Arabidopsis thaliana: one gene and its partners. The protein of the gene in region 4 interacts with the protein of the main gene of each other region in a pairwise test. Each region holds a gene or a part of one and is shown on either strand. Other genes may lie near its edges.

Evidence for each region.
Region 1: the proteins of SHP1 (region 4) and AT5G18037 interact in a two-hybrid assay, tested with the Arabidopsis thaliana proteins (one large-scale study listed by BioGRID).
Region 2: the proteins of SHP1 (region 4) and AT1G48150 interact in a two-hybrid assay, tested with the Arabidopsis thaliana proteins (one large-scale study listed by BioGRID).
Region 3: the proteins of SHP1 (region 4) and AT3G16160 interact in a two-hybrid assay, tested with the Arabidopsis thaliana proteins (one large-scale study listed by BioGRID).

What each region holds. Positions count from the first base shown.
Region 1 is NC_003076.8:5,969,595-5,974,404, reverse strand, and holds AT5G18037 (NAC (No Apical Meristem) domain transcriptional regulator superfamily protein), read left to right. Parts: upstream 1-2,838; 5' UTR 2,839-2,876; coding exon 2,877-3,092; 3' UTR 3,093-3,304; downstream 3,305-4,810. Other genes in the region: AT5G18040 (target of trans acting-siR480/255 protein), read right to left, coding at 430-690, 783-1,183, 1,353-1,449.
Region 2 is NC_003070.9:17,781,544-17,786,868, reverse strand, and holds AT1G48150 (MADS-box transcription factor family protein), read right to left. Parts: upstream 1,473-5,325; coding exon 501-1,472; downstream 1-500. Other genes in the region: AT1G48160 (signal recognition particle 19 kDa protein, putative / SRP19), read left to right, coding at 1-90; AT1G48145 (plant mobile domain protein), read left to right, coding at 1,956-2,003, 2,057-2,362; DPMS3 (dolichol-phosphate mannosyltransferase-like protein), read right to left, coding at 2,955-3,014, 3,161-3,268, 3,366-3,467.
Region 3 is NC_003074.8:5,471,657-5,478,026, forward strand, and holds AT3G16160 (Tesmin/TSO1-like CXC domain-containing protein), read right to left. Parts: upstream 3,692-6,370; 5' UTR 3,435-3,691; coding exon 3,298-3,434; intron 3,191-3,297; coding exon 3,095-3,190; intron 2,958-3,094; coding exon 2,789-2,957; intron 2,682-2,788; coding exon 2,451-2,681; intron 2,364-2,450; coding exon 2,266-2,363; intron 2,177-2,265; coding exon 2,073-2,176; intron 1,982-2,072; coding exon 1,710-1,981; downstream 1-1,709. Other genes in the region: ASPGB1 (N-terminal nucleophile aminohydrolases (Ntn hydrolases) superfamily protein), read left to right, coding at 138-299, 375-608, 697-783, 883-1,377; AAE13 (AMP-dependent synthetase and ligase family protein), read left to right, coding at 4,397-4,568, 4,814-4,983, 5,097-5,282, 5,604-5,775, 5,902-5,987, 6,113-6,235, 6,348-6,370. UniProt on the Arabidopsis thaliana protein: Plays a role in development of both male and female reproductive tissues.
Region 4 is NC_003074.8:21,735,055-21,743,022, reverse strand, and holds SHP1 (K-box region and MADS-box transcription factor family protein), read right to left. Parts: upstream 4,864-7,968; 5' UTR 4,248-4,863; intron 4,141-4,247; exon of another isoform or gene 3,892-4,140; coding exon of another isoform or gene 3,874-3,891; coding exon 3,647-3,873; exon of another isoform or gene 3,107-3,646; intron 2,758-3,106; coding exon of another isoform or gene 2,720-2,757; intron 2,551-2,719; coding exon of another isoform or gene 2,514-2,550; intron 2,349-2,513; coding exon 2,267-2,348; intron 2,114-2,266; coding exon 2,052-2,113; intron 1,923-2,051; coding exon 1,682-1,922; intron 1,599-1,681; coding exon 1,557-1,598; intron 1,449-1,556; coding exon 1,257-1,448; downstream 1-1,256. Other genes in the region: GAUT15 (galacturonosyltransferase 15), read left to right, coding at 1-191, 284-568; AT3G58770 (uncharacterized protein), read right to left, coding at 7,840-7,968. UniProt on the Arabidopsis thaliana protein: Probable transcription factor. Interacts genetically with TT16/AGL32 in a partially antagonistic manner during flower development. Is essential for the coordination of cell divisions in ovule, seed coat development and endosperm formation.

The DNA of each region.
Region 1 (4,810 bases), on a different chromosome or scaffold from region 4:
AATCCCGATCACTTTCCGGAAATCTCTTGTTAACCGCTATCTTCAGATTACCCCAATATCTAGCTAAAGATATTACATAACGAAATGCTTGCAAGTGCAGTTTCAAAGACATGCAAGAAAATCCTTTTGGTGCCATTGAGGCTTCCAGTAATCTTTTTTGCTTACATATAAGACTTTCCATCAAATGCAATTCTTAAATTTTATAGATATAATTTATCCAAGAAGTAGCGATCAACATCTCAATTCTTGACACAGATTAAAGTCTCATAAAACAAACTTAACTTGAGACCACAAACAGAGTTTCACAACAAGCATACGGTTTTCAAAATACATAAAACAGAAAATAAGTCTGATAAAACATTCTTAAAATGAGACCAACATAGAGAGGTTCCACAACTAGGAGATACTTTCCAAGATCTCAGCTCTTGTTTAGTTGATAGATAAGCGTGGGATACAGAAGTCAACAAGCAGACCTGTTGGCTCTTTCACCTGAGACTCCTCGCCACCACCAAGCTGGACAAACATACGGCTCAAACACACTTTGACAAATGAAGTCTTCTTCTTGTAACATATCTTCACAGTAGCAACAGTTTTTCCCTCGGACTTATTCACTGCAACTATGATGACATCCCTAAGTCCAACATAGCGTGATTCCTTACGAGACAGGCTAGACAGGCCCTCGTAAACTCCCTACCACACAAAAAAAAAAGGTTGAATAAGATTAGATCAAAACTTTGTCATTGATCTTTGAAAATTTCGAAATTTATCTCACAACACTTTACCTCTCCAACATTATCAAGGTCTGGACTGAACACATGGAGTCTTGCACCCACCGGTTGTTTAATCAACAGCTTAAACGCTTCATCCAAACTCTTAGTCTCAATCACTTCTCCTTTCATGGGCACGCGGGGTATGTGACAAGCAAATGGGGGAGCCTTGAATGTACATCCCACATGTGCCCAATGTTCTCTTCTCGGTAGCCCTTTCTTGAAAGCACATTCAAGGCAGTCTTTGACAGTGAGTGGTTGCTCCCTCTCCCTGCACATCTTACCTCTTATTCCAGACATTTTCCACCATATACTGATGCAAGTTTTCGATAGTGAACTGAGAGCTTGGTTCATCCATTTCTCCCTGGTCGTCTTCCTTCCCAGCATTATCCACCAAATACTGAGCTGAGACGCATCTGCAAGACAAAAAAAAAATGAAAATGTTGTAGTCAATTCATATGACTCTTTCAAAGGATTAGACTATATTAAAAAGGGAGTAAACTACTATCAGCTAAAATCAATCACAGTATCTCTTAACGATGCGAATAAAGTAATGTTCTCTAGAACAAGATTTGATTCATTTACCGTAATCTTCTTGCTCACTACTTGCTTTTACGCAATCTGGATGACAGAGGCCACGCGTCTTTGCCATAGATTGCATGAATCGCTGAATCATATTCATCTTCGATTACTTATCCCTGGTTTCAAGTAGAATCCAGCAGAAGAACACATTCAGAAATCCAGTAGAGTCAAGCAGATAAGGCAAAAGGAAAAACAAAAACAAGACCTAACTAGCGAAAACCATAAACATGGTTTCAAGTTTTGACATAAACACAACCATTTCTAGTTGCAGAGGAAAAATCGTCGAACAAGAAGCTTTAGAGTAAACCAAAGTAACAATGATAGCTTCCATTAACAAAGAACAACTCTAACGTTAAAAAGGATTCAAATCATTCATCCAAAAAAAAAAGTTCAAACCCTAAAGTTTATCTCTGTTCACTAATAGCACTGAGAAAGGCCAAGTCACGGAGTAGAATCGGTAACAAATCCAAAACAAGCTAAAAGAATCCAACAGAGAGAGAAAATTGAGAGAAATTACCGGAGACACAGAGAGACGAGAATCAGAAGGAGAAGACATTCGCAATCGCCGTCGCGTCGAGAGAAACTCAGAGAATGTTCGCGAAACAAACTCTCACAGTCGTCGCGAAGATTTCCCCTCAGCTTTGTCCCGAAACGTGTCGCCTTTTTAAGACTTCAACTTTAGTCCTCAAGACGACGACGTTTGAAACTTTCCTTAAAACGTTGCCGTTTTTATGACATTGCCAATGTTTTTAAAAGTCTTTTTAACAACATCGTTTTTGCCTGTTTATTTAAGGGCAACAATTATAGTTTAACAACAATTTTCTTTTAGGCTCCAATGATGATGATCCAACATTTTGTTTTTCCGAGTTAGACATCGACTTATTCGTTGTAAATAGATTTTTTCTCTTTCTTCTTGAAAGAGTACTTGTTCTAAAAGTTTAGAGAGTGGATACCATTTTTTGTGCAACCGATCACGATCATGTCAATGCATTTTTTGGAGAGCAAGAAAATATTTGAGGCATAAGCTTCTTCAAGTACTAATACAAGTATCTCTCCATATCAGAAGAGCAAGAAATCTTCCAGTCTTTGAACATTATTTAGATAAGTAAAAGAATAATCTTGTTTTTTAGTTTGTAAAAAGATATAAGACAAAATAAGTTTAAAAAGAAAATAGTAGACAAAATATCATACGCTAAAACCAACATTACAAATTTGAAAAGAAAAAATGTGATATTGGCTTACTTATCTAATTTTAAGAATATTGGCTTTGAATTACATGGATATATTTCCTTTTTAAAGAATCGTTTTCCTAATATATTAAAAATCCTTAAAATCCACATATATATACGAAATCACCTTTTCTATTTGTCTACCTGAAAGTTTCAAGTCTTCAACGCGTTTATTATTGTTTTTCAGTTTTGCTCTAAAGATCATTTGTTGTTCCCCTTGGATTATTGCTATAATATATAGATCCTTAACTTTTTGTCTGATTTGCGTTTTCTTTGTCTCATAGAACAAGAAAAGAATATGTCGATGGTTAAGTACTACGATAAAGAGGAACATGTTGGGTTTTGGTTTCATCCTTCTGCCCAAGAACTCATCATCCGTTATATCGGGCCTAAGGTTACCAAAAGATCAAATAAAGAATTTGAATTAGAAGACAAGTTTGACATCTATGCCAAAGAGCCGTGGCGGTTGTCTCACACCGAGACTAACTTTTTGGAACCTAATGAATGGTTCTAGTTCGTGAAAGTGAATCATCTCTCTGAAAACGTTACTGGAAAACGCATCAGCCGCAAAGTCAAAGGAGAGACGGTTGATGGATGTTGGAAAGGCCATGGGAAGTTGAGTGATGTCGTGTTGGAAGATACCGGTGCAGTGATTGGGAAGAAGTCTAAGTTTCTACGTCAAAGGTGAGAGACAAGCCAGTGGTTGGACCATGACAGAATACTATCTCGAAAACGGTGGCTCATTATTCCATGTTCAAGTTCTCTGCCACCTTAAAGGACCATGATTATGTGTCTTGGTAAATTTTCAGTGAAGAGGATAATAACTTCTACTTCTATCTTATTTTACTTCAATTTTGTGTCTAGTTTGATATTTCCCTTTGCATAATTTATTTAAATTCCTCATAAAAACTTTAGGAAAATCTCGTATATTCTTGTTTATTTAAAGACATGTAGATCATTATTTTTATGAGGAGTTTGTAACTGCTCACCTTCTTGTTTTCACAAACGAAAAAATATTTTCTTGTTTTGAGGATCAAAGAGATTATCTCATCTAATATATGAGATATTAATAATGATCAGGCCCATCCATGCCTATGAAGGAAAAAGAGAAACTTTGGCCTACGAAATGGATAAGAAATTGGTTAAATTAATGGGAGATTTGCAAAACTATATTTTTTGACTACCTTTTTGCCATAATACTCTTTTATATTATTTATTTTTAAAAATATCTTTTTTCTTGAACAGAATGACCAAATTACCCTCATTTAATAATAACAAGTACTTGGAAACTTTCAATTTCCCGCCAAAAAAAAAAATTCCGGCAAACTTTTTTTCCCGCCAAAAAAAAACTTTTCCGCCAAAAATTTTTCTCGTAAAATTTTTTTCCCAGCCAAAAAATGCTTTTAAAAAACCTTGTAAATTTTTTAAAAACTCTTTAAAAAACCTTGTAAAGTTTTCTAAAAGCTTTGGTAGTTGCTAAAAACCATTGTAAATCATTTTAAAACCTCTTAAAATCTTTATAAAGTCTTTAAAAACATAGGTAAATACTTTAAAACACCTTTTTAAATCTTTGTAAATCATTTTAAAGCTTTTTACAATAGTTTTACAAGATTTTCAATCGTTTTTAAGCATAAATAAGAAGCATTGAATGATTTACAAGGGATTTTAAAAGCTTATAAAAGGGTAAAACATGATTTACAATCGTTTTTAAAGCATAAGTTAGTGGCATAGAATGATTTACAAGGGATTTTAAAAGTGTTTGTATGGTTTACAATCGTTTTAAAGCATAAGTAAGTGTTATTGAATGATTTACAAGGGATTTTAAAAGGGGTTAAAATGATTTACAATCGTTTTTAAAGCATAAGTAAGTGTCAAAGAATGATTTACAAGGGATTTTAAACCTTTGTAAATCCTTTTAAAACTCTTATAAAGTCTTTACAAGCATTTTTTAACTTTTAAAAAAAAGAATTGTAAGTATTTAAAACATTTATAACTCTTTTTGAACCATTTTAAATCTCTTGTGAACCTTTACAAAAGGTTTTAAAAAGAGTTACAAGAATTTTTAAAAGTTTTTCTTATAAATTCTTTTAAAATATTATAAAAACTCTTGTACATCTTTTAAAACTCTTTAAAAATCCCTTGTAAATCTTTTAAAACACTTTCGAACCCTTTAAAAATCTTTTAAAAACTCTTGTAAGTCTTTTAAAGCCCTTTAAAATCTCTTGTAAATCT
Region 2 (5,325 bases), on a different chromosome or scaffold from region 4:
CAGAAAGCGAAGAAGCAGGAACCTCAGGCCACAACTTCAACCTCTGGAACTTCTTCAAAGTCAGGCAAAGGTGGCAAGAAGAAGAGATAAAACAAGCCAAGCCCTCCCTCTCTCTCATCAGATTTTATGGCTTTTAATCTCTTTAACTTTCTGAGAAGAACACAAAGGTGTTTGCAGGTGTAACAATGTTTCAAATAGAACATCGTCTCTTTCAACCCTAAGCTACTTTGTTTTCACCATTCTACTTCTTCTTTTTGGCATCATCCATTGACATTAGACAAGAAAGAATGCCTAAAAAGGGAACATAAAGATATTGTAATTCACCACAATTAGTCTCACTAACCACAGCCATAACCAAAATCGAAATTACAGAATCAAAAGAGTTGAGATAAAACAGATATCTATAGATCGTTACACACAACAACATAAATGGTAATTACCTAATGAACTAACTAAAACCGTAATTAACTATGAGATCGTGCTTAATCAAGCTGTGAGAACTAACTAAAACATGGGCATTCCATTGCTTCTTCGCTTAAGTATTCACTTATGTCGATCAATAACTCGTCGTCTTCGTTGGTTGAGGAATGATCTTGAAGAGGAACCTCAAGATTGTTGTCGTCCTTAAAAAGACCAAACACGTCGTCGACATCTAGGTTTTCCCAAAAGCTCTGATCCTCCTCTGTGAACATCGGTTGTGTTTGTGTTTCTTGGGGAAGACGCATTCCGTTATTCTCTTCCTCTGTTTCACATAAGAGGCCGTCAACAAATCCAGAATCTTCATTCACCAAGTAACGAGATTGATCAGATGATGACTCGCTGCCAACAGAGAAAACAGGGTTTTGATCAAAACAAGTAGTAACTTGTGACGAAGGCTCAAGTGAGGAGTAAGAGTTCTGATCAAAAGAAACAATTTTTAAGGAAGACGGAGACAAGGTACTAGGGTTTTGACCAAAATCAGAAGCAATTTGAGAAGACGAAGAAGAAGACCCACTGTCGTTGTTAGGGTTTTGATCGGATTTAGAAACAGAGTGTGATTTTTCTTTCTTCTCAAGATAATCCATGAGATGCTTCTTCGTTCTCATCAAACGATCTTCGATGATTCTTAACTCAGACAGATCGTCACAATCACGGTAAAGATCGGGCTCTTCCCACCAAAACTTGGCTGATTCAGGGTTAATAGTAGTCTTGGGAGGAGACTTGTTGTTGAGGTAACAGTCAACAATTTCAGAGGCATGAGAGTAGCCCGAGAATGAATAAACGACATCGGAGTTCTCGTCAGGAGAAGTTACAAAAACGGCTATGTTGGCTCCGGAGAGAAGGCAAAGATCAGCCGCTTTGGAGAAGAGTGTGGGACGGCGTTTGCTGCAAGCGACGGATCGTTGTTGTTTAGTCATGCGTTTCTCAATTTCAATCTTTCTTTTTGTTCCTCTTTTCCTCATTGTGCAATCAGTTACGTTCGACGACTGCATTATTAGGGTTTGTTTTGTGTCTTACAGAGAGAGATAATGGAATCGAGAGAAAAAGAGAGAGTGAAAAGAGAGTAGAGGCAAAGCACAAATATATAGAGATTAGATAATACTAATGTCGGTATTATCATGTGACTCGGTCAAACTTAATTTTTTTAATTTTTACCAAACAAACATTTTCATTAAGATCATCAAGATTATTGCATCTAATCACAACTGTTATCATCAAATATCAACACAAACACTATAAATTCAGAATCAGATTATGCATGAGAGAAGAGAAAAGAAGAAGAAAAACAGGATCGTACTTGGAGAGTAATACAACACAAGCACCCACATCCTCCTTAACCAAAACAACAACAACAATATCAGACAAACAACCATAAACAGTAAGAAGAAAAGATCAAACACAAAAAAAAAGCTCCAACAAAGTTGTTGAAGGGTCAGCAGAGGAGAGCTCAAGCTCGAACCAAAGTGTTTGATGTAATGAAGCAGAGAAGGAAGATGCTGATGGAAGGATCAATGCATGAGAAGGTGCTAGCATTAAAGGCAGACAACAACAAAAAAAATCTAGCCCTCATAAAAAGTTTGCTTCTGGATGCACGAATGGAGATGAAACAAGAAAAGCATATAAGCATAAGGTTCTGAAGTCATCTGATGAGTCAAACATTCACATCGCTGTAGGGGATGGAAATGAGGGACAGGATTGTTGTTTGCTTCATGATGATAGCATCAGAAGTGAAGAAACTATGAAATCCAATGAGCAGTACTCTGAAAAGGGAAACAATGATTTTGGTGAAGGTGATGTTGATAACAATGACAAGACTGATAAGAGATTTCAAGAGCTGAATGTGCTAGCATTGTCGATAGAGGAGCGTATTCTTAAGGCATAAAGAACTGTGGCATGGTTGAACGAAAGGAGAGCCATAAACACACAGAAAAGCAGCTGGTTTGAATTAGGTGTTGTTGTGGACAGATAAAGAAAGGAGAAGGCAAATGCAAGTTGAATATCAAAGTCATATCTTTATGATCTTTTTGGTTCAGTGTCTTTTGATTTTCCTGCTTAGTATCTTTTAAAAACTGGTTTGGTTCCAAATGTTTCATTTGTATCTTTTGAAACCTACTCAGTTATGAGCGACTTAATACCTTCTTGGTGTGTTGCATATCAGAGTTTTCGTACAGAGGATAGCCTGATTCAATCTGTTGATGCGATCTCTTTTGCATACCTGGAGAACTTACTAGACACAAAGGCCAAAGCTTTATGGTAATTCACCACAAGAAAATGTAAATGCTTCTATTGTTACTAATAAGTTTCTGCAATTTGGAATATTTGTTATACTTTTGCGATTACTTTTGGATGCATACGAAGCTTTTGCGTTTTACCTCAGTGACACTGTTAAATTCAAAAATTCCAAACAGTACAGTTAAGTCTTTTGTCAATAACGAAAAATATCTCTGATGAATGGTCTGATAAAAGCCTTTGTGTCAATTCGATCCAACATCTACCCCTTTGTGCTTGAAGAAGTCCTTAGCCTCTGCAATATCCTGCAACCAAAGAAACAGATAAAAGACACTAAATTAGCAAAAATATTGAAGGATGTCAACATTAGATAACACGAATCCGTATAGAGCAGGATGAAAAATAAGAACAAGGCCGACTATGGCAAACAAAGAGCTAGTCTCAAAAGTACCTTCTGCAGCAGAACTGCTTCTTGGGGGCAAGTAGGAAACTGCATGAGCCCGACTCCAACCATTAATAGGCCATAGCATCCGAGGGATACAACAAAGTAGATCGGTAGCTGTAAGACAGACCGGCAATAATACCAAATCAGAACAGAATCCTAATTTCAAAAAAGCAAGAAACCAAAAAAGAGGACAAAATTGTTTGTTACTCACCAACCATGTATGGCTTCGAGGAATAATTGCAGCCTGCAAAAGACCAATCCAGAAGGCAGAGATAGCCACCAACAGGCTCAAGATCTTTACTATATGCTTCATTTGTCCTTTAAAGTAAAAAATTATGTAAAAGAGTTTAAGTTAGCTGCGAATAGAAATGCATAGACGATCACAGCATTCTCCAAGAAGTTGTAGAGCATGTAAAAGAAATCACTCAGCGAGCCTAATAAACAAAATCTAGTAAATCAATGAACTATTCACAATTTCGTAGTTGTCATGATCAACACATATATTCCTCAAGAGCAATATTAACATCCCATTTACCCCACCAAAATTGATCACAAGCTCAAACCATAAGAAATATACCAATAATAGCTATCAGTTGTAACTAGATGGAGTCTCAACAAAGCAAATGGATTTTCATGTTTCAGTGTGTAATGTTCACTAACACAAAGACGCGCACATAATTTCCAAACATCAAAGTAAAACTAGAATCTAGCACAATCTGAACAGCTCAGTAACCCAGTTTATACAACTCAAACCATCATGCTATATCCAGATCAATCCGTACTTTTTCGACAATGACCTCTGACTGGGATAAACAAAATAAGAAATTGAAAATTATCTGACTCCGAAATATTGTAACATCAAAAAAAAACAATTTCCAATTCCTGAGATGATCAAGTCCGAACTGAAGCTACAGAACCGATACAAAATCAATGAGTTCCAACAGTTCCTCAGACCAAACGTCAAGAACTCAAAGTCTCAGACCATACGAAACTTAATCCTAAGAATTGTGTTAGCTTCCAAGAATCCAAATTCACAAATGCTGATCATGTAACATCAGAGGAGGTAAGAAAAACAATCACAGGAACCAAAGCAATAGCAAAAAAAATCCCTTACATTCAGGCAAGAAGCATTTAAAAAACAAGAATTCTAAAGAACCTGAGCTGCTTAAACAGGATTTGAATCGAAAGCATCTGAATCGAACCGTGTAACAAAAAACAGGATTCCAATTTCATATCGCTACCACTGATGACTGATCAGTAACCATAGAAACATTTCTAGACGAAATTTTTATATGGTTCCTTAAAACTACATAGTTCTATCACCAAAAACCGAAAACAGTAGCACAAAAGTTTCCTAGAATCATCTGAAAGCTTATACTAAATTAGCTAAATAGTACACCAGAACAAACACAAGGTAAATCACCAAATCAAGATAAAACCATGGCAAAGAAATATAAATTCCCAACAAAACCGATCCGAAAGGAGATGTTCCTCCAAAAAATTATCGTAAATCGATACAACACACAAAATAAAGAGGAGGAATCGATTATACTCACAGTTAATCGATGAGATCGTGATCGTCTAAGCGATAAAATCAGTTATAGAAGATTAATCTGGGTGTGGAGGTCACAAGTACTCGCCGTCGACGACGATGAATCGACGATATAACAACCGGTGAATACGGGGAACTCGTGAATATGCGAATTCACTTATACACTAAAACGATGCCGTATAGTCCCCACTTATGTTCCTCCGGTCTAAATGTCATTAATCCACATTTTGGTTCACGCTATATCGGTTTGATGCGGTTTCATATCGGTTTCATTCGGTTTGATGCGATATTCCCCTTTTGTCACTTTTAAGTTCGGTTTTAAAGTCACTTTTCCATACAGATGAGAGTATTAGCATTTTCATAAGCTCAATACGTTTTTCAAATATATCAACTTTTACATTTGATTCGGTTTCAATTCTTGATCAAAAGCAAGGATTGAAGAATTCGGTTCTCTATTCCAATCCGACTAGTAAATAAATCGTCGTACTAAACCACTCTATATAGAACAAACTTCTTTTTATTAATACAAGGCCTACACCTAGTGCACCACATCATCACCATACGTTACAAACGTAATTATTTTTGTTTACACGTACGTAAAAACATTAATATCATACAA
Region 3 (6,370 bases), about 16 Mb from region 4:
ATCAATAAATAAGAAAATGTGGGTCTCTCCTTGCTCGTAAAAGGCCTATATAATGACCTAATGCGACTCTTCTTTCTTCCATCATTCTCGGTTTAACTGTGAAACACATAAATAAAACAAAGAGAAAGAGAGAGAATATGGGTGGGTGGGCAATCGCAGTACACGGTGGTGCCGGTATCGACCCTAATCTTCCGGCGGAGAGACAAGAAGAGGCTAAACAGCTTTTAACTCGTTGTCTCAACCTCGGCATAATAGCTTTGCGTTCCAATGTCTCCGCCATTGACGTCGTTGAGCTCGTCGTACGTTCTCTTTCCCCACAATGATTTCTTACGGTGTTCTTGTTGAATTATATACTAAACGATTGATTAACACAGATTAGAGAATTGGAGACGGATCCTCTGTTTAATTCAGGCCGTGGATCTGCTTTGACGGAAAAAGGAACGGTTGAGATGGAAGCTAGCATTATGGACGGTACGAAGAGACGATGCGGTGCCGTTTCGGGGATAACCACCGTGAAAAATCCTATATCTCTTGCTCGTCTCGTCATGGACAAATCTCCCCACTCTTACCTTGCTTTCTCAGGTGCAGAGGATTTCGCCCGCAAACAGGTGTTTATTTACTATTTTACCCTTCCACTTTTTATTCTAAACCACTTGGTTAGATAAATCTTCTGACCGAAGCCGGTTTAATGAGAAGGGAGTTGAAATTGTGGACAACGAGTACTTTGTCACGGACGACAACGTAGGAATGCTCAAGTTGGCCAAGGAAGCTAACTCCATCTTGGTACGTTTTTGACTTAAATCTCCACCGTCCATTTATTCATCGTACGTTTTTCTTTATTTTGTATCCTCAACTTTTTCTTTTTTTTTGCTTTCTCACCAGTTTGATTACCGGATTCCGCCGATGGGATGTGCCGGTGCAGCTGCGACCGACAGTCCAATCCAAATGAACGGTCTTCCGATCAGCATTTACGCACCGGAGACAGTCGGGTGCGTTGTGGTTGACGGGAAAGGACATTGTGCCGCCGGGACATCCACGGGTGGTTTAATGAACAAGATGATGGGAAGGATTGGTGACTCGCCGCTGATAGGAGCCGGGACGTATGCGTCGGAGTTTTGTGGTGTGTCGTGTACCGGAGAAGGAGAAGCCATTATAAGAGCAACCCTAGCTCGTGATGTGTCAGCTGTTATGGAGTATAAAGGACTTAACCTCCAAGAAGCGGTTGATTACGTCATCAAGCATCGACTTGACGAAGGGTTCGCTGGACTCATTGCTGTCTCGAATAAAGGAGAGGTGGTTTGTGGTTTTAACTCTAATGGGATGTTCAGGGGATGTGCAACTGAGGATGGATTCATGGAGGTTGCTATTTGGGAGTGAGAAATATTTTAGATTAAGAAAATGTCTTACTAGTATTTAATCAGTCATCGCTCTATTAATTTGGTTATTCATTATCATAAAGCTGGAGGAGTAAATTTAGTTATGTCGTTATCACCAGTCCTATATTGATTTGTGTTTAATGCGGTTTCAAATGGTTAGTTCGTGTTTAAAATTGTTGATCTGTCTCAGCTCCATGCCTAATCAAGAAACTATGGTTCAGCTCTCTGTTTCTTGTATGAACCTTACCTGTCATAAATAGCAACAAAAAAGTGCAGTAATTGGATTTATTTGAGGATGGAGGGATTATCAAAATGAGATGGAATTATTACCTGTTATGATTCCAGTCTCGATTTGATGAACTTTTGGAGACAGTCTCTGAAAGTTTCAAGCACTGCCCTTTCCTGCTCCATGTATATATCTGTTTCATTGACACTTGTCTTGGTCTTACATTGGGAATCCTCTTCTCCATTGTATTGAACATCTATCAGTTCGATCAATCTTCCACGTGATTGTATTTCTTCTTCCACATTACGACTCTCAGACTCACTTGACAGCTCAATGGCTTCCTTATCATCAGGCTTTGTAAATATCCTGTTCTGGTCCTCTAAGTGAGATTTTAAAGGAAGTATGTTGATGAAGCCAAAGGAATAGTAGATCCAGTAAAGTGTAGATTTTGTAAGAGACTACAGATATACCTGCAGTTGTTGTAGCAGATTCTGACGCTGCAACGAGAAGTGAGCATAAATCTCCCAAGTCCGGAAGAAGTGTAGAGGTGTATCCCATGAGGGACCTTTTCTTTCTAGTAGCACAATGAAAATTCAGTTAAAATATTTATGATTATGAGGTGAAGGAAGATGAACTATCATTTTAGGAAATGCAAAATCGAACCTGTAAGGAAGTTTAGGAGAGCAAGACATAGGGGAACCCAGAGCATTTTGAATGGAATTGTCAGGTATCGAAAATAACGGAGCTGGACAAGAATTCCACTGCTATTCCGGACAGAAAAATGAGTTTTATGGAGATAAACCCAAAAGTGCATATATGTTATGAAGCAAGTAGTATATTTCACTTGCCTCAGTTAGCTCTCGGTCTCTTCTCCTCCGGTATACTTGTGGGGAATTGTGAGCAGAAAATGCAGGAGGCTGGAACGCTTCACTAACATTCTTGCAGTTGATGCATTTACAGTTGTCTGAGCACAGAAGATTAGCCTGAAAGCACTCACAGTACTTCTTCAAACACCTGGTTCTTTTACATTTGCAGCCTCTCGAAAGCAGTCCAGGTTTAGTATCAGGTGCAGCCTTACACTACAATACAAAACACAGAACATCCCAGATACTTACAAATGAAAAAGGATGTGAAATATACCTCTTTGAAGCTTAACCTACAAAAGTGATAGGTGTCAAGAACATACCTGATTATCAGTTAGGCTACCTAAAGCCTTTTCACTGAAGGCATTTGGGTTGCGACCTAGTACATTCACCATAGCTGCTTCTCTAGCATCACATTTCTCAGAGTTGTTATGACAATCAACACAATCACAGTCTGTACATACCACTCCTGATGCAAAACAGTCACAGTACCTAATAACCAAGCGTCAAACAAATATCCAATAATGCATCAATCTACAGCAGATAATAGAAATCTCACTATTCAACATTATACTCAAATCTCTATCAGCTTAACACTAAGTAATTCTTGGATCCTGAAATGAACTTACAACTTTAAACATTTGGACTGCTTGCATCGACATCCTTTGTGTTTCCTCGAAGTAATGCCTTCTTCATCTGTCTTATCCTTTGCTTCTGAATGCTCTCTGCTTCAAAATCAAGACCAGTGGAGATCAGAGAGTAGATTTTGGATTGAAATTACTCAAACGAGAAGCATCTCTAGTGAAAATTGGCAGAGAAACTGGAACAATACCGAGAAATCGGAGGAAAAAGAGGAAGTTCTTTAACAGGAGATTCTCGGAAGACGGGAGATACCTCCAATTTGGTGAAAACGAGCTTCCTAGGGTCTTTCTCTGTCGCGATTTTGCCGGAATCTGCGTTTCCTGTCATATCGGTCCTTGACACATTATAGTCGCCACACAAGTTAGTTCCTCAATTTGGCGAACCGATTAGAGCATGAACGGTGAGGAATCCTCAGAGAAGCGTCGATTCATAGATCAGATCAGATCAGTGTATCGGAGAGTCGCCATGGCTGACAGATATCAGAACAAAAATGGAATGCTGGATCCTAATTCGGAACGATGAATGATTGTCTCTCTCTCGATTTTTTTTTTGGCCAGCTCCAAGGGGTTTTCTAAGAAACAAAAAGGTTCTGTGAACAACGCGAAGGTATTCAAAAGCGAGAGAGAGTGATCTTGGAGGGAATGATGATGTGTTGATGACGAAGATGGAGTTGGATTAAAGAAATCTAATTTCATGATTAATAATTTAATATAACAAAATTAGTCTTCTCCAATGCTCAAACCGGAGACCTAAGATGTACACTCCCTTTAAAAGGTACTGATAAAAAAAAAGTTATTAATTGCATGTTGGCATTAAATAGAATCTTCCTCTAGAGTTCAAAACTTCACAATAATAAAATCAATGCATATCAAAGCATATGTATAAGATGTTAGCTAACCACAATTGTTATTCATCAACGGTCAGGATCACATCACTCAAAATGCAATATTCAGATGGTCTTTAATTTTGTGTAAATATACTTAGAAAGAAATTCACAACACAAATAAATGAGAAAAAGCAAATCAGTAATTAACCTTAAAAAAATGCCTAATAAAGCGTCATTAAAGAATAACCCATTATCGCCTGTCACTCACTTTTAATCATCAAAACACGCCACGTGCCAAACTCTCCACTGAATCAAAGTCGCCAAACGCTTCAGTCGCTATTTCATGATCGACACGAAGGCTCTCTTTTGGCGATTGCAACCACCACCTAAGAAGAACGGCTACGTAATTTGACTGTACGACTTGCGAAAAAAGTCGAAACCTTTTAACGAACCAGACCTAAAAATGACCGCTACGACAACATTAAAGAGTTTCAACTACTTGTCTTTAATTAACCATCGACTCAACCACAACTCCTACGCTATTCTCTCCTCTCCTCTTCTTCCTCGATCCCACCCAGCTTCTACTTCGTTTTCCAATTCTGGGTTTCGATTCTTCCAATCTAACCATCTCTTCTGTAAGTTTTCTTCTTTACCTTTGTTTGGTTTTTGCATGTTACATGTTCGACGAAATGTCTTAAAGATTCGTGCTTTCCATATAGTAACATTGATGATCCGTAAAAACCTGAACAAGTTGTTGTTTTGATCTGAATTTATATTGAAAATTTTGCAGCATCTCCAAGGAACTCAATCTGTTCTTTTTTTGTACATGTAGTTTCTATATATTAATCTGAATTTTATCTATGTAATCAAAATGTTGCAGCTTCACAGTCTGGTTCACTCATGGAAGTGTTTAAAGCAGCTTTTTCAGAAGCGTCTAATTCTTGTGATAGGATTGCGATTAAAGCCGATGGAAAGAGTTACTCTTATGGCCAGCTAACATCGTCTGCTTTGAGGATATCTAAATTGTTCTTAAAAGATGATACGACAAATGTATGGTTTTTGGTTTGAAATTGTAGCTACTATATCTACTACTTGAAGCTATCACACAGTTTGTTTACAGCTTTATGGTTATTGACTTTTTTTGTCTTCTATAAATTTCGTAGGGAGGTCAAGAAACTAAGAAGTATGAAGGGTTTGGTAGTCTAAAAGGAGCTAGAATCGGAATTGTGGCAAAACCTTCAGCTGAGTTTGTTGCAGGAGTCCTGGGGACATGGTTTAGCGGTGGTGTAGCGGTTCCACTTGCACTCAGCTATCCTGAGGCTGAACTCTTACATGTCATGAATGATTCGGTATGGAATCTACTTGCCTTCCTATTTCCTTGTGCTTTAATTTCGGCTCAATTGTTAGGTATTCTTGATCTTATTTTTGTGATCTCAGAATTTTGATCCAAGCTCTTGGTTTTTCTAGCATTAGGTCTTTTTCCATAGACTAAAAAGGGTACTCTGTAGAACAAAGTAGAAAATATTCTAAAAGGCAGAAGTTTTCTGGTTTGCTCTGTTTTCTACCACATTCAAGTTTCACAAAATAAGTGTGCCTTATGCTCTTTTTACTCTCGAGAAAAAATGATTAACATTTTCTTGGGATCTAACCTCGTTGTCTTCGGTTTCTAGGATATATCTCTGTTATTGAGCACAGAGGACCATAGTGAAACTATGAAAACCATCGCAGCAAAGAGTGGTGCTCGATTTCATCTTATTCCTCCTGTTGTTAACTCAACTTCGGAAACTGTTGCTTGCAATCAGTTTCAGGATGACAGTTTTGAAGCAGAAGGAAAGTTTCTAGGTAAGTTTTTGAATATACTTGAGATGGTGAACTTATAATGAAGGCTGCTCTTTTAATTTTTGCCACCTTACCTCAAGCAATTATTGGTCTGGATTTTCTGCATCACTTCAGCCTTTATTTGTGCAGATGATCCAGCATTGATCGTCTACACTAGTGGTACAACTGGTAAGCCAAAAGGAGTTGTTCATACTCACAACAGCATCAATTCCCAGGTATATATCCGACCTCCTTATGTAGCGCATGTCATGTTTCAAATCTACCCAACCTGCAATAGAATGGTCTGCATGTATCTAAATTATGATGTACCTTATAAGCTAGAAGCTTGTATATGTTGCAGGTTAGAATGCTCACTGAAGCTTGGGAGTACACATCTGCTGATCATTTTCTCCACTGCCTCCCACTACATCATGTTCATGGGCTTTTCAACGCTTTATTTGCTCCTCTTTACGCACGGTCTTTGGTAACTTATACTATTGAGATTTGCTTTGGCTAGCTCTTTCAAAATACATTACCTTCGGAAAACATCAGGCTAGTTTTAGGTTTTTAATTGATTTTCACATTCCTTTTTCAAGGTGGAGTTTTTGCCCAAATTTAG
Region 4 (7,968 bases):
TTGATTCGTGGTGCGGAGACAACTGTTGCCCCGGAAGAAAATACAAAGACTATTTCAACTTCTCACATCCTTTGATCTCATCAAACTTAGTTCAAGAAGACTGTGCTTGGCTTTCTGGTATGAATGTCTTTGATCTCAAAGCCTGGAGACAAACCAATATTACTGAAGCTTACTCTACATGGCTAAGACTCGTGAGTGTAAATATAGAACGATCTCAGTTTTTGCGTTATGTATTCCGTACTCTAACTAGTTACACAAATTCTGATGTTTAATTTTAATGCAGAGTGTTAGGTCAGGACTACAATTATGGCAACCAGGGGCTTTACCACCGACATTACTTGCTTTCAAAGGACTTACACAGTCTCTTGAACCATCATGGCACGTCGCTGGACTAGGTTCTCGATCCGTAAAATCCCCTCAAGAGATTCTGAAATCTGCTTCGGTTTTACATTTCAGCGGTCCAGCAAAACCGTGGCTAGAGATCAGTAACCCTGAGGTACGATCTCTTTGGTATAGATACGTAAATTCCTCCGACATCTTCGTTAGAAAATGCAAAATCATGAACTGAGACTAAAAAACAGATTAGAAAACAAATATAAAGAAAAGAGAAAACTGAGTGATGAAGCCAATACTTGCGGCTGTGTGAGAGAACAGAGGGAAGAAGGTTTAAGCCTTCAGCCTCTGCTCATATTTCTCTCATGTCCATATACTAAACAGTAATTTAGATAAAGGACAGTATCAAATTAGACTTTAAGCGTATGAAGCTTCTTTTTGAGATCATTATCTCAAGTAGTAACTATAGTAAAAAATGTAATTTTGTTTAATTATAGCTACACATTAATTTATCACATTATAGATCTTTTGTAAGTTTTTATTTTTGTAATCCATAATTAATTTATGGACATGTTGTAATGATTTTATGATCAATGTTTATAGTTTTGCTTGTCTCTAATTGTGAGTGTTTGGTGGACATGATCTAATCGAAGCTGCAACTATATGTAAATATTAAAAGGCACTTAAAATCTATTAACTGATCGTGTATGCGTCTAATCTTGTATGACAAACTTTGGATCTCGACGTGTTTTAGAACTTTGGATTTAAATGTTGATGTAATTAAGCAAAGAAACAACAGTTTTGTTATTATCATTATTAGAACCTAAACTATGAATACACAGTCGCGTTATAAATATAAAATGAACTCTCTCGTCTCTCTCTTAATCGTTATGAGGAGAAGAAACAAGTTATCATGTTTTGAGTTACACAAGTTGAAGAGGAGGTTGGTCTTGGCCGGAGAATTGCTGATTCGGTTCAAGAAGGTTCACCGGAATATAGTTCCGATTATAATGCTGCGACTGGTCATGAGAAGATACACCGGATTCGTAAACTGTCGTCCCTTGTATCACACTCGATTCCTGCTGGTCCGGATTCAATCTGGCGCCTTCGGCTATCTATTAAACCCAAAAACAAAAGTTTTCTTGTTATTCACGTTATCTTAGTTATACAATGAAGAAAAGAGTAGATATTGAGATTAAGATTTGGAACAGAACGTGGCTAACCTTTGCTCGCAGGTACATGTTATTGTGTTGCAACTCCATTTCCTACACATGATTTATGGGAAAACTCAAACCCTCACAAAGACGAAGAAAGATCTAATTACTTGGAATGGGAGAAACGTTCTTACCCTCTTCTGCATATACTCTATCTCTGCCACTAACAGCTCATTCTGCAAAATTCTCACAAAAGGGTGATGAACTATATAAACTAAGGGACTATATATAGAGAGAGAGACAGAGACACAGAGAGAGAGCAACGTAGATTTTACCTTTTTGGAGCGGACACGGCTGATTCCTTTTTCAAGACGTCCTTCTAGGTTTTTGAGTTCCTTGAAGTTCAAGGAACCAAGTGATTCCCCAACAATATGCCTTCAATTTGTAAACATGAACATTAAACAAAACAACTTCTAAAGAAAACTACAAGCGGACTTTTGGACCGACACCAAATTAAGTGACCTAATACCAAATCGAAGAGTTCATGAAAAGTTAATGAATTACCTATTTGAATTCTGAATATCTCGAATCTGCCTCCGAAGCTTAGAGGCTTCTTGCTGATAGTACTTCAAAAATCCATGTATTCAAACACCATAACGAAACCGTTTCAATGCATTTCCAAGAACTCTCTCTTTTTGTAGGTTATATTTTTTGTTGATCATATATATAATGAAAAGAAGAAGATAAAACAAAGAGAATCAAACAATATAAATTGGTACCTGAGTATTAGCTTCGGTGACGGAAGGAGGGTTGACGGCATCGGAACAAGCTTTCTTGTACCTTTCAATTGTACCCCTCACACTAATAAGTAAGATCGCGGAAAAAACATTAGATGTATACATTGTAGGAAATTCTTGATTAATTAGAGTTAATTTCGAAATGTTTTTTTTCCTGAAAAGGGAAGGCTTTGGAGTTTGGACCAATATCTGACCAGTACGAGGAGAAAATTTATAAATTTATTCTAACACATGGCTTGAATAGATCCACAAGTTTTTTTTTTTTTCTTAATTCACAAGGTATTATAAACAAACAATGTCTTAAAGTAAGGATATATAAACATACTAGTAAATATTATGGTTTCGAAATTGGTAATTAGGGTTTGAGGAGGAATTAGACCATGTATCGTGTATATTACATGATTCAATGTCATCATGAAGGTATCTTTAAAGGACTTTTTTTTTTTTTTTTTTCTAATAACAAATAAATGAAGCTCAGAATGCCAGAGATTCCAATTGGCTCGTACCATTTTAATTTCCGACACTTCTCTGAGTTCTCTCCCTCTCATTGATATATCAATGCAACAAATATACATATATATATATATATACACCCTAAACAAAAAAAATAAAAGAGACTAAATCTTTAATTTCATTATTTGTACAATTTTACATTTGATGACTGATAACAATGTTAGACAAAGTCATCCGTGTGTTTATTGATTTTTAGGACTTCTAGTTGGACAAATTACCCTAAATACAAATCTACATAATATAAAGTTATTTAAAAAAGAGGGTTGAAAAACTTCAGCATATAAATTCTCAAAATTTTGTTTCATTTTTGTTGGGATTAAATGATCAAATGGATCCCTAGTGACAACTCATCAGTAGACTTTGTCCCTAGTTTCACCAGACAGAGGTTACATAAGTCTTGATCATCCCCTATTTTTATATATATATGCTAAATCGTGTCAAGAACCCAATTTTTTTCACTGAAGTAAACCCTAGGAAATTTGATGGGCCGTCAAAATTAAAAGTGTATTGTAGAAACTGACATGCATCAGGTTCAAATGATTTGCAGAAAAAAGAGTGAAACTAAGGTCAAAGCTGATCAGAATTTGAGAAGACAAGATAACTTTTTCTTCTTCTTCTTGCATTTGCATACATATACACACTTACACACACACCCACACATATATAGAGGAGAGAGTACTAAATCTAGCTAGAGAGATATTAAATGTATCAACAAGTGAAATCTGGTTTTCTAAATTAACCAAACCCTAATCTTGGCTCTCAATCCCCACTTTGTTATCATTTGAACTAGGATCTTGTTTAGTTAAAATTAAGAAAACAAGATCAAGAAATAGAGTAGGAGAAGCGTACCTGTTGTTGGCGTACTCATAGAGACGGCCACGAGTGGAGAAGATGACGAGGGCAACTTCGGCATCACACAAGACAGAGAGTTCATAAGCTTTCTTGAGAAGACCATTGCGTCGTTTGCAGAAAGTAACTTGACGATTTGTTGTGTTCTCTATCCTCTTTATCTCTATTTTCCCTCTCCCTAGTTTCTTGCTACTCTCTGCGTCGTGACTACTCCCACCTTCCTCCATTGATCCTATATATGACATCACCAAATAATTAAATAAAGATTTCTAAATTCAAGAAAGATATCTAGAGAGAGAGAGAGAAGGCTAATCTTGATGATCAAATCCCTTTTCCTGATCAAGAATACATAACCAAGAAATAGATCAAATCCATGTTCTGGTCTAGAATTAGGGATGTAACTAAAAAATAAAGAAACTTTGTGTGTTTAAGAGTTATTAATCTACTTTATAATGATCAAATCTCTTTGTTGATAAGCAATAACCAAGAAACATATCAAACCCATGAATTGGTTACACAAGAATCAGAGAAAGAAGAAACATTTATTTTAAATCTCTTATTTTTAGGGTTAATGAATGGTGCATAATATTCACAACCTTACCTGAGTTCTCAAGATTACGATAGATCAGCAAAAAGGAGAAGGTGGGTAATGAGAAACTGTTCTTGAAGAGAAACTATATCATTTATCTCAGTACCACTTAACTGCTGCTTCTGCTTTTCTAATTATGTTGTTCTTGAAAATATCTCTCTTTCCTTTTGTAATATCTATTTTGGTTTATGGGTTTTCAATTGAAGGAATATTTCTTTGAAGGTTATAAGACCCTACTTGCTGAAAACAGAAGGTTATTAGTTTTTCTTTGTGCTCAAATATATTTATACACAGAAGAAAAAAGAAAAAAATGGACAGATCATCTAACAATTGTCCAAACAGCACATACTCAACATACCTAGAAACTCACACTTTTTTATTCTCTATACATGCATATAAATAGATATGGATATCTATAAGTGAGATGTGTATTTTCTTTTTACAGAACTAGAAACTGAAATTGAAGGGGAAATTAATTAAATGGTTAATAATAAGAAAGAAAAAAAGAAAGAAGAGAAGAGTAGGTGGAGGACATTGAAGGAGGACCATCCGATTTCTTTCATGGGAAGGGGAAAAGGAGAGGGATGGGCTCTGTTTCTCATCAGAACCATCTTTTGGAAACTCCTTATTTTTGGTAATCTTTCTCACCTTTTCTCTCTTCCTTTTTTACCCTTCTGCATTACCATTAGATGCTCTCTATCGTATCAAATTTATGCCAAAGTCTAGAATGGGTATGTGAATCAAGCCAAGCAAAACCAAGCTCTAACCGAAACCAAATATTGTTTTTCTTAATGTTCATGAAGATGTTTTTGATAATCACTTTATAGTGTTGAAGAATGCAGTTAACGAACTCTTTTTGCAAGAAATATAATACAAAGTTGAGCTAGAACCCTAAAACATAAAATCAAGTTTTACTTTTAAGAAAAAACGTTTTACTCTTTATCAAAAAAAGTTTTAAGGTCACCAAATTACAAATATCGCAACTCTTGAAGAAAATCGGAAAATATCGCAAACTTCAGATTATTGAAGGATTCATGAATCATTTAGGATATCTTCCTCAATTTCTAGAAATCTTTTGTAAACCAAAAGTTTATGGTAATTTTGGAATTAAAAAGAAAAGGTGGACATATTTGGAGGGATTTTTTTTTTGCGTGGGGACATTCATTAACTACTTGCAACGTGAGGACATATTTAATTTATTTCATATATGTAAATACGCTATACAGAAAATGTACCAATGATGAGAAATGCATAATAATCTTAGGTGAATTAAATTGTAAAAATAAATGAAAATTTGAATCATTCATGAGAAAGTCGATGCCAAGAAATACACATAGAGACGTAGGTGTGGTATAATATGGATATATGATGACAGGGACTTGCATGTGAAACTTGCCTCAACTTCTCCTAGTACCTGAATCCTTTATGGGAAATAGGGTATAAGTAGTTGCTTATTGTTCTTTAGTCCTTCATCTTCATTTTTCTTTGTGCTTTGAGCTCTCTTGAACATTGTGGATTTCGAATCTTTCACTCTCTTAGTTTCATCCTCTACAAAAATATCCAGACCAAATAAAAATCATATTAGTCTTTTCTTTTGCGTGGGTCCTCGAGTGACAACAAATTTGATAAGACATCTTGATTAAATTCTGAGTATCTAGACATCGCTCATGATTCAAAATTGTTGAACATAACTGTCAAATTTCAAGCATTTTTTAAATAGAAACTAAACTTAATGGAGTACTTAAAAAATATTTAACAGATTATTTTCTTTTCGATTTTTTTGTTAATTAAAAAAAAAGTTAGGACGAGAAGTCATATGCGAATACACTACTTTTAGGCTTAAAAAAGATACAATTTAGCGACTAAACCGAGAGGAATTTGACAATGATATTACTATCTATGAGGTGGTTAATCTTATCGCACAAACGAAAGACTAAATCTACTAATATACGTATCTAATCTTCCGTGTAAATTTTGTCCATATATATTTAGAAACATTGAATCTTGATTATGAGGTTAATTATTTCATTTATGGAGATAATATAATCTGAAAGGTTTGCCGTATTGTGTCTTAGTGAAGAAGTAATAATAATGACATGCATGTTAAAGTTAAACGTGTGAATTAGAATTGCACTGAAAGCAAACTTGAGAACTTGATGATGAATACGTTGGATCCACAAATATGACCACTGATACAGAAATCCATATTTAAAAAGCCAATTTGACACTTGGCTGGCAACATATTAGGGAATAAGCATTATCTCTGGCATTGTCAAAACCTCTTCAAGTCCATTTTGTTTTCTCTTTTCACTGTTGCAGATCTCACTAGTAGTCCAATTTAGATTGCATTGCGGAATTTATAGATACTCGAACCTTTTGTTTGTTGGTTATATTCAGGATGAATATTTTAAAAAAAAATGATGAGAAGACAACTTAATTGAGGGAACAAGAAATTAAGGAATGGTGACTAATCATACGAATAGTCATAATCATCCACAACCCTTGTCACAGTTCACATTAACTATTCGTTTACAAATGGAAACTCTCTTTGTTCCATACCTCCCTGTCTTTCGTTGTAATTAGTAATTGCATTTACTATTAATCATTTAGTCAAAAGTCAAAACTTATCTTAAATTGTGCCAAGTCATTTCAAACATTTGGAAGGACTTATGTTTTGTTTCATCTTTGCGGGAAAAAATTATGGTTATTTTCACCAGCTAATAATATCTCTAGTTTAATTTCTGTTAGATGCAAGTTTAAAGCCATTTAGAAGTACTCTAACGGGTAACAAGCTCTCAGTTTAATCATTGGCAATTTCTTTTTTTATAAAAAAATTGACCACTGCTGAATACAACTTCTGGTTAATTTTGTATGCATCTCGACTACTGCAAAGTCTAAATGCGTTGTTTTTTTAATTTTTTTTTATATATGCATAATAAGTTTTATCTAAAATCTAGAGATTCCAATTCTTTTGATAGGGAAAAATTGAGAAACCTTATTTTTTTTAATAAAAAAGTCACATATAAGTACTTCTTTCAAAAACTTCTTTAAAAGTGTTTTAGATAAAAACACAGAAATGAAAAAAATGAGACACATAAGTAAGGATTTGTGAAGAAAGACCAAATGAGGATAAAACCCAAAAACAAAAGACCAAATGAGAATCAGATCTTCTTTGCATCAGTTTGATCCTTTTTTGTTTTGGGTCTGTTGGAGTATATTCTTTATTTTACTATCTCACTCAAGATTCTTCCTGGTGATCTTGAATAACGTGCATATAAGAATGTTTATGGATTCCAAATTGATACATGACACTAAGAACAAATTTATCTTGATGCCGATTTATGTTCTTTAATTGCTAGCTAGATGATCCAGATATTCCAGATAGAATCATAGTAGTATACAGAACAAACGCAGAATTTCTAGAGGGGACTCGCATGCTTATACGGATCTAGAAGCTTTTGGTGTTGTACGACTTAAACAAGGCAATCATGTACAACAATTCATTCCGAGTAAGGCACTAACACCAAATAATTCATAAAACACACAAGGGATGGTTCAAACAATACAAGGCTATATACCCTTAGACTCCTAGATTAGTGATTTCCTAATTTGCTGGCCTGCAAAGAAATTCTTTAACATAATTTAAGCCACCTTGCATTGGCAGCAACTTGGGGACTTTATGGTTCTTCATTGGATACTCCTCTACGGGTGCTACCCGCTTATTTGTAGTTCC